Linked DNA regions of Drosophila melanogaster. The main gene of each other region encodes a partner of the protein of the gene in region 2 in a complex. Each region holds a gene or a part of one and is shown on either strand. Other genes may lie near its edges.

Region 1 (5,562 bases), on a different chromosome or scaffold from region 2:
CTCTTTCACAGAATTCCGCCAGAGGATCTTAAACCAAGTGAGCAAATTGAAGCACAAGGACTTTTGGATCATCTACCTTAAAGAAGACACCTTAAAGGACACACGCTCCTTTCTCAAATTGCTAACTCAGTCCAGTGCACAGGAGGCTAACGATCTCTTCAACAAGCTCCTTAAAAAAAGGGCCGATTGTGCTGTTATGGGCGATCTTAGCGATGCAGTGGTCAAGGTGAACAGCGAGTCCGCTTTCATGGCCTTTAGATTCCTATTTCGAGAATATTTGATCGCCTTCCGGAGCCACGCCAAACACAATAAGACCATCACGAAGCGCCAGCATTGGGATCATTTGATGGCCGTTGTGGCCAAGGCTCCATTCTCCATTCGCAACGAGATTATGGAGCTAGCTAGTAAAGCCTTCGCTGTGCGATTCGGCATAAATATCCAGGAACAGCAGGCGGCCAAGTGTTAAGGAGATGCTGTTAGAAGTGTAATTTTCTTAAGCCAAATCGAAACACCGCCGCTAATCGACTAAAGACGTACATATATAATAATCATAACGCTAGGATGATGTTCAATCCAGATATCAGATTATTTTACAATTTTGTATGTCCTTTAAAAGGATGACTGTATGCACATAACATATGTACTACTGCCTTGCAAATTTTTTGTCTATTTAAAAAATACTTTGGCAAGCAAGTGAAGTTATTCAGATGAAAACTATTGCAATTTTGCATGTTCTTCATATTATTCGTATAATTATGTATTATATACATACATACATATATAAAATACAAAACGCTATGATCGAACATCAGAATAATATGTGTGAGGAGTCTACGTCCCCACAAATCTGGGTGCAGGGGAGCGGCCTTGGACGCCAGGAAAGCGGAGAGACTGTGAACTAACGGTACCGCGCTGGACCTTGGACTCGAGCCTGCCAAGGGCACGGAGGTCGAACAGTAACGGTGCGGACTTTGGACACGCACAAGAGGACACACATTGTGAACTAACGGCAAATTAGTTGGACGCGCAAAGGGGAAAATAACGGGATCCCCGCGGCCTATAAAGGAACGGCGCAAGTGCAGCTTGGGGCAGTCAGTCACAACACGCGAGGAGCCACACGTACGCGAGGATAGTCGAGGAGAGTACGGGCGCGAGTCGAGCCGTCAGGAGGCGGCCGCGCAATCGGAACGGCGTCTAAAGAAGAGAGACAGTGCGTTAGAACGCGCGGATACTACCATCAAGTTTTTTGTCTATTAAATAAATACTTTGGCAAGCTTGAAATTATTGTAATTTAGCATGTTCTTATTATTATTCGTATTCTTATGTACGAATTCCAAATCTATCTCTCGATTTCAAACTCAAGTGCCGCATGCGAATCGCATTATTTTAAATACTTTTGCTAAATAGGACCACTGTTTAAAAAACTGCAGTTGACTTTGGAGAAGTCGCAATATTTATAATGTCAATTATTAATTATCGAATAAAACATTACAATAATAATACAAATAATTAATTATCGAATAATACATTACAATACTTTATAAAATATCTTCATTTAATTTTCAGCTGAGCAAAATACAAAATATCATATGAAAATGTTTATAAATAAAGTTAAAGTTAAATCATAGCATGCAGTGGACAAGTCATATTAGTATCTATCTACATCAGAGAGTCTATTACAAAGCGAAATTTTTTGTTGTAGGGACATTTTCATTTTCAAAAAATATTCCTTGCACGCAAGATAATCGGTACGCACCGGTAAACTATCGATTTTCGATAGTCATCTGACAGAAGACGCACATAAAATTGAATTCCTTCGGAAGAGTTTTGACGAAACGCGAAATTTCGGCAGCACGATGATAACTGCTGAGAAGCACCCGCTGGACAATTGCCAGTTGTTTGTCCAGCTGAAGAAAATATTCCATGACAACAACGAACAGGCCAAGTGTCTGAAAGATATGATTTACTGGAGTGGTAAGTGAAGTACCAGAGGTTAGTGCCCAAATATGAACATTGTTTGTTCTCAGGAAACGATGAGCACATTGAGAAGATCTGCGACCAAGTGACGGACCTGCTGGAGGAGCACGATCTAATCATACAGCCGCCAGACACAATGGATCCTTTTGCTATGAATCAACTGCGTGGACTACTGGTGTACCTGGTGCTGAACACCGCACACGACTATTTCTTGTGCAAATCGCAGTGGAGCGCCAATGTCATGCATTTGTGTAACCAGCTTCCGCCTATCCCACTGTTCTTGACCATCGCAATAGCCGTTAACTGCTGTCTCATGGAGCCGCTGGAGGAATTCCTTGCTTGTGGACCCCGCTGGCTGACCATCCAGTATTTTGAGGCATTCAATGAGGCTCTGTCGGTCATTAATTCAGATTGCGTGGAAACACTACCGCTGCTCTCTGCCGCCCTCAGAGCAGCCGGTCGCGCAATTGTCAACTGCAATTTGCCCGCAGAAAATAAGCAACTGCTGCGCCAGATAGCCTGCATGGAACATCGTCATATCTTGGACTCTAAACAGCGCCTCCATACGCTGCCGCGTCCATCCACTCGAAAGATTTACCTGGCCAAGGCTATGGATCACCTTATAGAAGTCCTTTTGTATACCCTCAATGATCCATTAAAGCGGGAGAAACCAAATTGCTTCGCCGTCTACAGCCAAATAACCGAGGACATCAGTGACAGCAACTCAAGCGATCCCATGCCTGATCTGCGGCATTTCGCCCAAATACTGCTAGACGTTCTGCAGCGTATCTTTCAGCTCGTTAGCGTAGACACGTATATGTATTGGCATGAAATGAAATCGAAAAGTGCTTTGTATAACTGCCAGGAGCTAATCTGTAGACAGACGGCAGAATTGCTTAAAGTACTCCAATCAGATAAGTTGCTCGGAGAGCATCCGGTTTGCAAGCAGATGCAGAGCTTTGCGGATGCAGCAAAAACATTGGAGCAGCGCGTTGCCGAGATGAGAATGGGTGAACTCTTAGTCTTTCTCGATTCCGGTATGGCCACCGATGAGGAGTTGCTCGCCGGGCTGGACAATCTCTTTAGCCGCTTCATAGCCTTTGGTAACGATGAGTGCGTGGAAACGATGGCAAATCATTTAATTATGCTCACCAAGAAACATGCCCAGATAATACTCAGTTTCCTGGGTCAGGTGGTGGAGTCCGAAATGGTGGTCGAGGACGAGGGCATATCCGTTACGGAAGTAAATCAGGGGGATGACGAGGACGAGACCTCGTCCAACGATGATTACGAAGAGCTGCTAAGCCTAGTACTGCGTCCCTTATTTATGCAATTAAATGTCGAGGACAAGATGGAAGTACTGCTATTGCGCGATGAGCAAAACGTTACCCAAGGATTTAATTTCAAGGCTCCCGATCATCGGGAGCGTCGCATACGCTTCTTTAATCAATTGGATTATAATAAGCGCTTCCCGATAACCAAATTTCTAGTACTGTGCTTTGAGAACGCAAGACAGACCTGGATTGATTTCTCCCACTTGGGCGTGACGCATACTCGCTTCTCGAAGCTATTCTGGCACATAGCTCAGTCTTGTCCCAAGCATGCTGCTTTTCATATTTCCGCCTGTGCCGATAACATCTTGGTGAACGAGCAACTACTTCAAAAGCCGTATGCCTTGCAGTTTACACTCTACCTATATGGCCACCGACAGATCCTCAACGGTCTCTACACGTCAGCGCGACAACTGTGCGTTAGTTTGAAAGACGGACGGTGTCCCTACGGAGAGGATGAGCTTAGGCAGGCGCAAAATAGGTTCCTAGACGCGTGTGCCTACGGTTTGGCCAAGTTTATAGAGCCCATGAACTTGCCCAGCTTGCAGTTAATCTTGAAACTGCTCAAGCAGATTAGTCTGGGTGAAAGCAATCTAATCACCCGAGGCACTGCAGAGTTAAATGCACTCGAAAAGGAGCACCCGAAATTGGAGAACGGAGACGATGCACCAGCTGTCAAGGTGGCCAAGCACTACACATATCTGAATGCCAGCTTGCCAGAGTGGCGTTTGAAACACTGGAAGCTGATCTCGCATGTCATGAAAACCATTGATGCCCTACGCTGGGACTTGGCCACCTTTGAAGATTTCCGGGTGGATAATTTAGAACTGGCGGTGTGGTATTGGCAGGACGGTCTGTCTCATCTGACATTCCTAGGCACTGGTGCGCTCTTATAAATGTAAGTCCAAGACGAAAGCCTACTAATTATTGCTCTTTCACAGAATGCCGCCAGAGGATCTTGAACCAAGTGAACAGTTTAAAGCACAAGGGCTTTTGGCTCATCTACCTTAAAGAAGACACCTTAAAGGACACACGCTCCTTTCTCAAATTGCTAACTCAGTCCAGTGCACAGGAGGCTAACGATCTCTTCAACAAGCTCCTTAAAAAAAGGGCCGATTGTGCTGTTATGGGCGATCTTAGCGATGCAGTGGTCAAGGTGAACAGCGAGTCCGCTTTCATGGCCTTTAGATTCCTATTTCGAGAATATTTGATCGCCTTCCGGAGCCACGCCAAACACAATAAGACCATCACGAAGCGCCAGCATTGGGATCATTTGATGGCCGTTGTGGCCAAGGCTCCATTCTCCATTCGCAACGAGATTATGAAGCTAGCTAGTAAAGCCTTCGCTGTGCGATTCGGCATAAATATCCAGGAACAGCAGGCGGCCAAGTGTTAAGGAGATGCTGTTAGAAGTGTAATTTTCTTAAGCCAAATCGAAATTCCGCCGCTTGTCCAACACTTTAATTCTTAGGCAGTCAGATCTCTATATGACTAAAAACATATATAATATTCATAACGCTAGGATTGAACATCAGAATAATTTGATATCAGATTATTTTACAACTTTGTATGTCCTTTAAAAGGGCGACTGTATGCACATAACAAATGTACCACTACCATGCAAATTTTTTGTCTTACTAAAAATACTTTGGCAAGCAAGTGAAGTTATTCAGCTGAAAATTAATAAAATTTTGCATGTTCTTTTTTTTTCGTATTATTATGTATTATATATATAATATACAAAACGCTATGATTGAACATCAGAATAATTTGATATCAGGTTATTTTACAACTTTGTGTGTCCTTAAGGCCGACTATATTTACATAAAATATGTAATACTACCATCAAATACAAATTTGTGTTCTATTAAATAAATGCTTTGGCAAGCTTAAAATTATTGTAATTTTGCATGTTCTTATTTTTATTCGTATTTTTATGTATTACTTCGACTGCTTTGCTTCCTGTTGCAAAATTGTAACTTAAAACTAGGAAAATTTATTTTAATACATTTTTAAATTTCATGTACTCGTTATGTTATAAATTTAACTAATTTATATTCTGTCAAAAGCTGAATGGCATTATTCAGGGAAAGGAAAATTTTGGTGCAAATTGTTATTAATAACATTTTCAAATTACCTAAATAAAAAAAAAAATAGAAAAAATATCTTGTCTTAAAAAACACTATATATATTTTACAAGGTAATTTAACGACCAATGCTTGACAAGTATCGAAAAGATTTCAAACTCAAATGC
Region 2 (3,552 bases):
TGCAAAAGAGAAGGATTTACCACTTATATTTCAAATCGTAAGCCTGTGAAAATAAAGGATGCATTTGGCAGTGTTGAATATGGACGGTTAAAAGGTCCAAGCGCATTTTTAGCTAGTTTGTTAATTAGGCAATACTACCATGTACTCTCTTTATCATTATATCTTATTTTTTATCAATAAAATTTTTCAGCTTCTGATTTTAAAACAGCTACACGATACCCAAAGTTAAAGAAATCTATTGCAGTGTAAGAAAGTCTGCTTACCAATCAAAATATCCGTTTTTTTTCTTTTCTGATTTGTATACTGCCAGCTAAAATATCGCCATTCTACGATCTATCGAAGGTTATGAAAATTCCGTTATACTACAAACTCAACCGCTCGCTACGAAATGTATCGAAGCACTGATTTTCTCAAGTGGCCATATTGAATGTCAACCTAAATTTCTGCCTGCCTCGGCATTTTTTTTTTCCATTTATGTAGCAATTGAAACGAGATCCCACCATGACGATACTGACTCTTTAATATAATAAATTTAATCGTTCTGTTTTCTTAATATCTACAAGTCTTTCGAAAAGATGTGATGTGATGATGAGATAAGATGGAATTACTTCTTGGGTGTCTTTTTCTTTCCGCTAGTGGTGCTGGCTTCTTTCTTTCCCTGGTAGAGGCCCGTATAATAGCCGGACATGTACCAGGCGGTGAGCATGGCCACGAAGTCCTGTTCGGCGCCGTCCCCTTGTCCGACAATCATGGGCGGTACTGGTGGCATGGGCGGCATAACCAGTCCGCCAGAGATCCTACTCCTTCTGGATGACTTGGGAGTCTTTGAATGACTACCAGCGGATGCCTTAGGGCGGCTCAACTGCTCGTCCTCATCCTTCTTGGCGATAAGGAACTGCTCGCGACGCACACGCTTGCCCCAGGACGGCAGGAGGTCCACGAGCAACACCTCCTGCTCGTTCTCATAGCCCAAATAGCGGAGTACGCAGGTGCCCTTCTCCTCGTTAATAGACACCACAGCGCCCTCGTAGTCCACACCATCCACGTAGGTGGCCCTGGCGTAGTCGCCTACTTTGAAGGATACTGGTTCCGGGCTGGTAGCCCCACCAGTGGCCGAGATCTCGCCAGCTTCTTCTTCAGCTGCGGCAGCGTTCTCCTCCTCGCGCTTGTTGGTGGAATCGGCGAGGCGGCGGGCCAAAGCTTCGCGGGCCAGTCCCACCGACTCGTCGTACGTCTTCACCAGCAAGGAGTCATCCCACACCGCGGCGTTCGTCTCGTCGGACATCTCGGCTTTCTATCCTATCAGGCAAGTATCACGTTTTTAAAGGAAGAACCAAGTTTCGCTTTTATGCGAATTTGCTGTGTGTTGGAAAGCGCAGGCGAATCACCGCTTAGCAGCACAGGCCGAAACATGAAACTATCGCTAAAAGGTGTACATTCAAACTAAGATGTGATAAAATTTATGAAGTCATTCTGGGTATTATATTATTCTGAAAGCGAACGAAATGGTTAAGAAATATTTAAATTCAGTAAAGCTGAAAAAAGTTTTCATACTTTGTGGCCAACATTCACAATGCAATCAGAATACTTCCAATGTAATTGTATTGTATTTATTGTTTTAATTGAAGTCTTCTTTTTATACTTTCCACTAAAAATACTTTATTGTGAGTGGTGTTGTACCTATCGTCCCCATTAACCGCACGATAGTATCGATACTTATCAGCATGCATCTTTAACACAATAAACAAACAATAAATTGATCGATCCGACCTGAAAGCGAGATCGCTAAATTTTTTAACTCAATTTCGGAGGTATGGAGTTGGGGTTGGTGTGCCGAATTTGCCTCGGGCAATGTGAAAACGAGTTCAATATTTTTGAAGTTAAGCACGGCACTGAAGCTTCAATAGCGTCAATCATTTCCGAGTGCACTGGCCTCAAAGTGGAAAAAGGCGATCATCTACCCGAAACATTTTGCACCTCCTGCTGCCAAGATGCACAAAATGCGTTCGAGTTTAGAAAAACCCACCAGAGGAGCTAATAATTTTACGTTTAGTTAATGGAGGAATCCCGATTCCGCAAGGTATCTTATTCCGAGGATGGGGAATCGAGTATCGATGGAGGTGCTTTTCAGCATTTTGTCGAACTCGAAAGTGTAGTTGAAGATTGGCGAGGCAGTGGCATGATCCAATGGGAATGTTGTCTAGTGTAGAACGAGCCTCTTTAAAGACGATGATCAGTTCGTGGACTGTGACAGCGATCAATCCAATAGCCAAGTCAATATTGAGGTAATAGACGAAGACTATGATAGTTGTGAAAACCATAGATTGCAAAATAAAGGACGTGATAATGATAAGCTGCTTCAATGTCCTCATTGCCCAACGAGGTTTTGGATAAACTCAGCACTTAAGCAGCACTTGCTGCTTAGCAGCAAAGGCTTTGAAGAGCGTATCGCATCTTTCGGGACATATTGCAATACACACTGAAAAACGGTGCCCCCATTGTACATCGAATTTTACGCTGGCTTCCAATCTTAAAAGGCATCTAATAATCAACACAGGCGAACGCCCCTTCAAGTGCTCCCAATGTCCTAAGGCGTTTTACCCAGAATGCGCATCTTCGAATTCACATGATGAGCCACACAGGAGAGCGACCGTTCCCATGCACCAAGTGCTCCAAAAGCTATTTCACGAACACGCAACTGCGGTACCATCTAAAGACCCACAAAGAATGAGAGTTCTGAATCGCTTAATAATTTAAGTTATTCTTGACACAAAACTTATGCCCAAGGTCAAATAGACGTGATTTCAATACCCGAAATTTTTAACTATACTGAGACAATCACTAATTGAATAAACAGTCCGAGCTTAAATGCGAAAATTTAGATTTAAACTCCATTAGATAGTTTGTTAAAATATATCGATATTAAAGCACAAAGGAAATACAATACCCCTTGGATCAAATCATAAAGCTTTCAGTTGTAAACTGTTAAACTATATAGAGTTCGTCTAAAAAATGTATTTTTCAACTTAAACTTACACTTAAATAATATTCCCAGCCCTGTGGTAACTTGACAATCGATAACTGTTCCGATAACGATTGTCCTATCGCTTTACCCTACAACAATTGCCATCTCTAAAAAAAAGCGAAAATCATCTTGGGAATTTGCAGAAAACATTTAAGCTTCAATATACCAATCTAAAGAATGGCCAACGTGGAATCGCTGTACAAAGAACTGACCGCCGAGTGGTCAAAGCGGCCACCAAACACCGTCAAATGCGGCCAGCTGCTGGATCAACTGAAAGTAGCGCTCGTGAAGATGGCCTTCCTGCCGACGGACGGAAACGATGCCCAGAGCTCCAAGAAGCAATTGATCCTGGCTAGGAGCGTGCTTGAGGTGGCCGTGGAGCATAGCGTGCTCAGCAAGGACCTGCTCGCCTTCGAGCGCTACATGGCGCAGCTGAAGTGCTATTACTATGACTACGCTAAGATCATTGGCGAATCGGAGAGCAAGTATAAGCTGCTCGGTCTGAATCTGCTGTACCTCTTGTCTGG
Region 3 (6,379 bases), on a different chromosome or scaffold from region 2:
GGGTGCTTCTCAGCAGTTATCATCGTGCTGCCGAAATTTCGCGTTTCGTCAAAACTCTTCCGAAGGAATTCAATTTTATGTGCGTCTTCTGTCAGATGACTATCGAAAATCGATAGTTTACCGGTGCGTACCGATTATCTTGCGTGCAAGGAATATTTTTTGAAAATGAAAATGTCCCTACAACAAAAAATTTCGCTTTGTAATAGACTCTCTGATGTAGATAGATACTAATATGACTTGTCCACTGCATGCTATGATTTAACTTTAACTTTATTTATAAACATTTTCATATGATATTTTGTATTTTGCTCAGCTGAAAATTAAATGAAGATATTTTATAAAGTATTGTAATGTATTATTCGATAATTAATTATTTGTATTATTATTGTAATGTTTTATTCGATAATTAATAATTGACATTATAAATATTGCGACTTCTCCAAAGTCAACTGCAGTTTTTTAAACAGTGGTCCTATTTAGCAAAAGTATTTAAAATAATGCGATTCGCATGCGGCACTTGAGTTTGAAATCGAGAGATAGATTTGGAATTCGTACATAAGAATACGAATAATAATAAGAACATGCTAAATTACAATAATTTCAAGCTTGCCAAAGTATTTATTTAATAGACAAAAAACTTGATGGTAGTATCCGCGCGTTCTAACGCACTGTCTCTCTTCTTTAGACGCCGTTCCGATTGCGCGGCCGCCTCCTGACGGCTCGACTCGCGCCCGTACTCTCCTCGACTATCCTCGCGTACGTGTGGCTCCTCGCGTGTTGTGACTGACTGCCCCAAGCTGCACTTGCGCCGTTCCTTTATAGGCCGCGGGGATCCCGTTATTTTCCCCTTTGCGCGTCCAACTAATTTGCCGTTAGTTCACAATGTGTGTCCTCTTGTGCGTGTCCAAAGTCCGCACCGTTACTGTTCGACCTCCGTGCCCTTGGCAGGCTCGAGTCCAAGGTCCAGCGCGGTACCGTTAGTTCACAGTCTCTCCGCTTTCCTGGCGTCCAAGGCCGCTCCCCTGCACCCAGATTTGTGGGGACGTAGACTCCTCACACATATTATTCTGATGTTCGATCATAGCGTTTTGTATTTTATATATGTATGTATGTATATAATACATAATTATACGAATAATATGAAGAACATGCAAAATTGCAATAGTTTTCATCTGAATAACTTCACTTGCTTGCCAAAGTATTTTTTAAATAGACAAAAAATTTGCAAGGCAGTAGTACATATGTTATGTGCATACAGTCATCCTTTTAAAGGACATACAAAATTGTAAAATAATCTGATATCTGGATTGAACATCATCCTAGCGTTATGATTATTATATATGTACGTCTTTAGTCGATTAGCGGCGGTGTTTCGATTTGGCTTAAGAAAATTACACTTCTAACAGCATCTCCTTAACACTTGGCCGCCTGCTGTTCCTGGATATTTATGCCGAATCGCACAGCGAAGGCTTTACTAGCTAGCTCCATAATCTCGTTGCGAATGGAGAATGGAGCCTTGGCCACAACGGCCATCAAATGATCCCAATGCTGGCGCTTCGTGATGGTCTTATTGTGTTTGGCGTGGCTCCGGAAGGCGATCAAATATTCTCGAAATAGGAATCTAAAGGCCATGAAAGCGGACTCGCTGTTCACCTTGACCACTGCATCGCTAAGATCGCCCATAACAGCACAATCGGCCCTTTTTTTAAGGAGCTTGTTGAAGAGATCGTTAGCCTCCTGTGCACTGGACTGAGTTAGCAATTTGAGAAAGGAGCGTGTGTCCTTTAAGGTGTCTTCTTTAAGGTAGATGATCCAAAAGTCCTTGTGCTTCAATTTGCTCACTTGGTTTAAGATCCTCTGGCGGAATTCTGTGAAAGAGCAATAATTAGTAGGCTTTCGTCTTGGACTTACATTTATAAGAGCGCACCAGTGCCTAGGAATGTCAGATGAGACAGACCGTCCTGCCAATACCACACCGCCAGTTCTAAATTATCCACCCGGAAATCTTCAAAGGTGGCCAAGTCCCAGCGTAGGGCATCAATGGTTTTCATGACATGCGAGATCAGCTTCCAGTGTTTCAAACGCCACTCTGGCAAACTGGCATGCAGATATGTGTAGTGCTTGGCCACCTTGACAGCTGGTGCATCGTCTCCGTTCTCCAATTTCGGGTGCTCCTTTTCGAGTGCATTTAACTCTGCAGTGCCTCGGGTGATTAGATTGCTTTCACCCAGACTAATCTGCTTGAGCAGTTTCAAGATTAACTGCAAGCTGGGCAAGTTCATGGGCTCTATAAACTTGGCCAAACCGTAGGCACACGCGTCTAGGAACCTATTTTGCGCCTGCCTAAGCTCATCCTCTCCGTAGGGACACCGTCCGTCTTTCAAACTAACGCACAGTTGTCGCGCTGACGTGTAGAGACCGTTGAGGATCTGTCGGTGGCCATATAGGTAGAGTGTAAACTGCAAGGCATACGGCTTTTGAAGTAGTTGCTCGTTCACCAAGATGTTATCGGCACAGGCGGAAATATGAAAAGCAGCATGCTTGGGACAAGACTGAGCTATGTGCCAGAATAGCTTCGAGAAGCGAGTATGCGTCACGCCCAAGTGGGAGAAATCAATCCAGGTCTGTCTTGCGTTCTCAAAGCACAGTACTAAAAATTCGGTTATCGGGAAGCGCTTATTATAATCCAATTGATTAAAGAAGCGTATGCGACGCTCCCGATGATCGGGAGCCTTGAAATTAAATCCTTGGGTAACGTTTTGCTCATCGCGTAATAGCAGTACTTCCATCTTGTCCTCGACATTTAATTGCATAAATAAGGGACGCAGTACTAGGCTTAGCAGCTCTTCGTAATCATCGTTGGACGAGGTCTCGTCCTCGTCGTCCCCCTGATTTACTTCCGTAACGGATATGCCCTCGTCCTCGACCACCATTTCGGACTCCACCACCTGACCCAGGAAACTGAGTATTATCTGGGCATGTTTCTTGGTGAGCATAATTAAATGATTTGCCATCGTTTCCAGGCACTCATCGCTGCCAAAGGCTATGAAGCGGCTAAAGAGATTGTCCAGCCCGGCGAGCAACTCCTCATTGGTGGCCATACCGGAATCGATAAAGGCCAAGAGTTCACCGATTCTCATCTCGGCAACGCGCTGCTCCAATGTTTTTGCTGCATCCGCAAAGCTCTGCATCTGCTTGCAAACCGGATGCTCTCCGAGCAACTTATCTGATTGGAGTACTTTAAGCAATTCTGCCGTCTGTCTACAGATTAGCTCCTGGCAGTTATACAAAGCACTTTTCGATTTCATTTCATGCCAATACATATACGTGTCTACGCTAACGAGCTGAAAGATACGCTGCAGAACGTCTAGCAGTATTTGGGCGAAATGCCGCAGATCAGGCATGGGATCGCTTGAGTTGCTGTCACTGATGTCCTCGGTTATTTGGCTGTAGACGGCGAAGCAATTTGGTTTCTCCCGCTTTAATGGATCATTGAGGGTATACAAAAGGACTTCTATAAGGTGATCCATAGCCTTGGCCAGGTAAATCTTTCGAGTGGATGGACGCGGCAGCGTATGGAGGCGCTGTTTAGAGTCCAAGATATGACGATGTTCCATGCAGGCTATCTGGCGCAGCAGTTGCTTATTTTCTGCGGGCAAATTGCAGTTGACAATTGCGCGACCGGCTGCTCTGAGGGCGGCAGAGAGCAGCGGTAGTGTTTCCACGCAATCTGAATTAATGACCGACAGAGCCTCATTGAATGCCTCAAAATACTGGATGGTCAGCCAGCGGGGTCCACAAGCAAGGAATTCCTCCAGCGGCTCCATGAGACAGCAGTTAACGGCTATTGCGATGGTCAAGAACAGTGGGATAGGCGGCAGCTGGTTACACAAATGCATGACATTGGCGCTCCACTGCGATTCGCACTGGATATCATCGTGTGCAGTGTTCAGCACCAGGTACACCAGTAGTCCACGCAGGTGATTCATAGCACAAGGATCCATTGTGTCTGGCGGCTGTATGATTAGATCGTGCTCCACCAGCAGGTCCGTCACTTGGTCGCAGATCTTCGCAATGTGCTCATCGTTTCCTGAGAACAAACAATGTTCATATTTGGGCACTAACCTCTGGTACTTCACTTACCACTCCAGTAAATCATGTCCTTCAGACGCTGGACCTTCTCGTTGTAGTCATGAAATAACTTCTTCAGCTGGACAAACAATTGGCAATTGTCCAGCGGGTGCTTCTTAGCAGTTATCATAGTGCTGCCGAAACTTCGCGTTTTGTCAAAACTTTTCCGAACGAATTCAATTTTATGTGCGTCTTCTCGTCAGATGACTATCCAAAATCGATAGTTGCGTACCACTTATCTTGCGTGCGAAGAATATTTTTTGAAAATGAAAATGTCCCGAATACAAAAATTTCGCTTTGTTATGGACTCTCTGATGTAGATTTATTCCTATTTATTTAACTTTATTTCTAATTTTTTTCCTATGATATGTAAATATTTTTAGCTGAAAAATAAATTAAGTATTGTAGTGCCTTATTCGATAATTAATAATTGATATTATTAACGATCCTCCCTTTCGACAGGAATGCTGAGAGATCATCTGTTCGTTATCGATAGTCTTGTATTGCGTTGGAGGGCAATAGACGCGGCTGCCTAACGGCCGGCAAAGCAAAAGCTAATGCTTAAATGGTAAAAAAATAAATGTATATTTGCTATAAAGTATAGTATTGTGTTTTTCGAAATTTGATAATTGATATTATTAACGATCTTTCCCGTTCGCCCACAATGCAGACAAATCAGCTGTTCGGTGTCGATAGTTTTGTGTTGTGGGTGGCGGTCGATAGACGCGGTTGTCTATCGGCCGGCGAAGCAAAAGCTAAAGGAAAGTAAAATAAAAGCCAAGCAAGAGCGAAACAGCAAGCGATAGGAGGAGTCGGTCGCTGCCTAAGGAACAAGCGGAACTGGGTTAAAACATGCCCATGCAATAGGCCAAATTATCTATATTATAGGCCAGACTTTCCGTCGCAGACCGTTTGGTGGTGGCGGTGGAGAAGGCGGCAGACGGCTTATAAATTATGGAGCTACGCGAACTGCGCGGTGGAAATGGTGGAAGCGTAGGAGGCATTGGAGCAGCTACAACCGGAACCCCCGGAGTGTCAGTGAATGGAGCCCCTAGTCCCGAACTAGGCGGCATCTGCATTGGAGGCGCCGCCGGAGGACAGCGTATGCCCACCAGAGCGGATATATTTATGGAACAACTAAACGCCACCAATGCCAAGAAGGTGGCTTTGCTTCTGGTCCTCGGCTTCATCGTCTATCACGGCCTGCTCAACTGGAAATACGGTGGGTCCAAGGTTACAAGATCTTTAAAGATCTAAGTACTATGAAATTTATAATGGATGTGGATACGGAATCGTACCCATTTTAAGATCACAATTGTATACCAATGTTCACTTATTCTTCTCATATTATTAATGAGTCAGTTTGACGTTTGACCATATTCGGTACATTTTAAATAGTAAAAAAGGTTTTTACAAACTTTTAATCTCAAACGTTTATGTAAATATAGATAATCATGTCGAATTTTAAGATTAGTGTACAAATTCTGCAGTTGGTTGGATTAATATAAACGACATGTAAAGTTCATATTTGGGATGTTGGCTGCCATCGTATGCTTATTATGGATATTGATTTGTTTTGTTTTGTTCTCCCGCAGGCAGTGACTCCTGCCAGTGGCTGCTGTCCAAGGGCCGATTTAAGGGCGACAACGAGTGGCAGCCGTACGGTTGCATGGTGCACAAGTACTCCCTCACGTGAGTAATCAACGCACATTCCCGACAAGATAACCCCCCAATTAATGAGTCACCCAAACCGAAATTCTCATTATTTACAGTGACACAAGGCGCTGTTTGCGTTACCTCGCCTTCTTCGACAACAAGAACAACTTTGTGTTCATTGGCGACGAGAGTATACGGCTGCTCTACGAACGATTTGTGGAGCAACTTCGCCTGCCATTGGCCGCGGATGAAATGGCCGACGAGGAGGACAATAACGCCTCGGTGACTGATGGCTCAGCCCGTTTCGAGGACAAGAAGCTGCATATGCTGGCCCAGTACATTCGGGCGGAGGAGGTGAGTCCGTCGCTTGTGGAGCAACTGTACCGTCTGGAGTCTGAGAAGCAGCTGTCCTCTGTGTACGTTGTGGGCTTCACCTATGCCGGCTTGCTCGCTGGCAACACCACAGACGATGTGCTGCGGCAATATGCCGCCAATCTTACATTGCTGGTGGCTCCGTTTCATCGCCTGGTGGCGCAAACTTCGCGGGTCCTCTGGAAGCTAGCAGACCGCGTGGACGAGGAGAAATTGCCCG

Evidence for each region. Proteins that work in one complex are often made in the same cells at the same time.
Region 1: Smn (region 2) and Gem4b share a complex: the UniProt entries of both Drosophila melanogaster proteins name them as parts of the core survival motor neuron (SMN) complex.
Region 3: Smn (region 2) and Glos share a complex: the UniProt entries of both Drosophila melanogaster proteins name them as parts of the core survival motor neuron (SMN) complex.

What each region holds. Positions count from the first base shown.
Region 1 is NC_004354.4:3,939,204-3,944,765, forward strand, and holds Gem4b (gemin 4b), read left to right. Parts: upstream 1-1,643; 5' UTR 1,644-1,856; coding exon 1,857-1,974; intron 1,975-2,027; coding exon 2,028-4,190; intron 4,191-4,249; coding exon 4,250-4,704; 3' UTR 4,705-5,062; downstream 5,063-5,562. Other genes in the region: Glos (gaulos), read left to right, coding at 12-466. UniProt on the Drosophila melanogaster protein: Component of the survival motor neuron (SMN) complex that catalyzes the assembly of small nuclear ribonucleoproteins (snRNPs), the building blocks of the spliceosome, and thereby plays an important role in the splicing of cellular pre-mRNAs.
Region 2 is NT_037436.4:16,579,898-16,583,449, forward strand, and holds Smn (survival motor neuron), read right to left. Parts: upstream 1,651-3,552; 5' UTR 1,555-1,650; intron 1,491-1,554; 5' UTR 1,286-1,490; coding exon 605-1,285; 3' UTR 501-604; downstream 1-500. Other genes in the region: Rpn12 (regulatory particle non-ATPase 12), read left to right, coding at 3,203-3,552. UniProt on the Drosophila melanogaster protein: Core component of the survival motor neuron (SMN) complex that plays an essential role in spliceosomal small nuclear ribonucleoprotein (snRNP) assembly in the cytoplasm, is required for pre-mRNA splicing in the nucleus and acts as a chaperone that discriminates target and non-target RNAs of Sm proteins.
Region 3 is NC_004354.4:3,934,704-3,941,082, reverse strand, and holds Glos (gaulos), read right to left. Parts: upstream 4,567-6,379; 5' UTR 4,262-4,566; coding exon 4,144-4,261; intron 4,091-4,143; coding exon 1,928-4,090; intron 1,869-1,927; coding exon 1,414-1,868; 3' UTR 501-1,413; downstream 1-500. Other genes in the region: Gem4b (gemin 4b), read right to left, coding at 1-23; CG2938 (uncharacterized protein), read left to right, coding at 5,086-5,353, 5,727-5,823, 5,904-6,379. UniProt on the Drosophila melanogaster protein: Component of the survival motor neuron (SMN) complex that catalyzes the assembly of small nuclear ribonucleoproteins (snRNPs), the building blocks of the spliceosome, and thereby plays an important role in the splicing of cellular pre-mRNAs.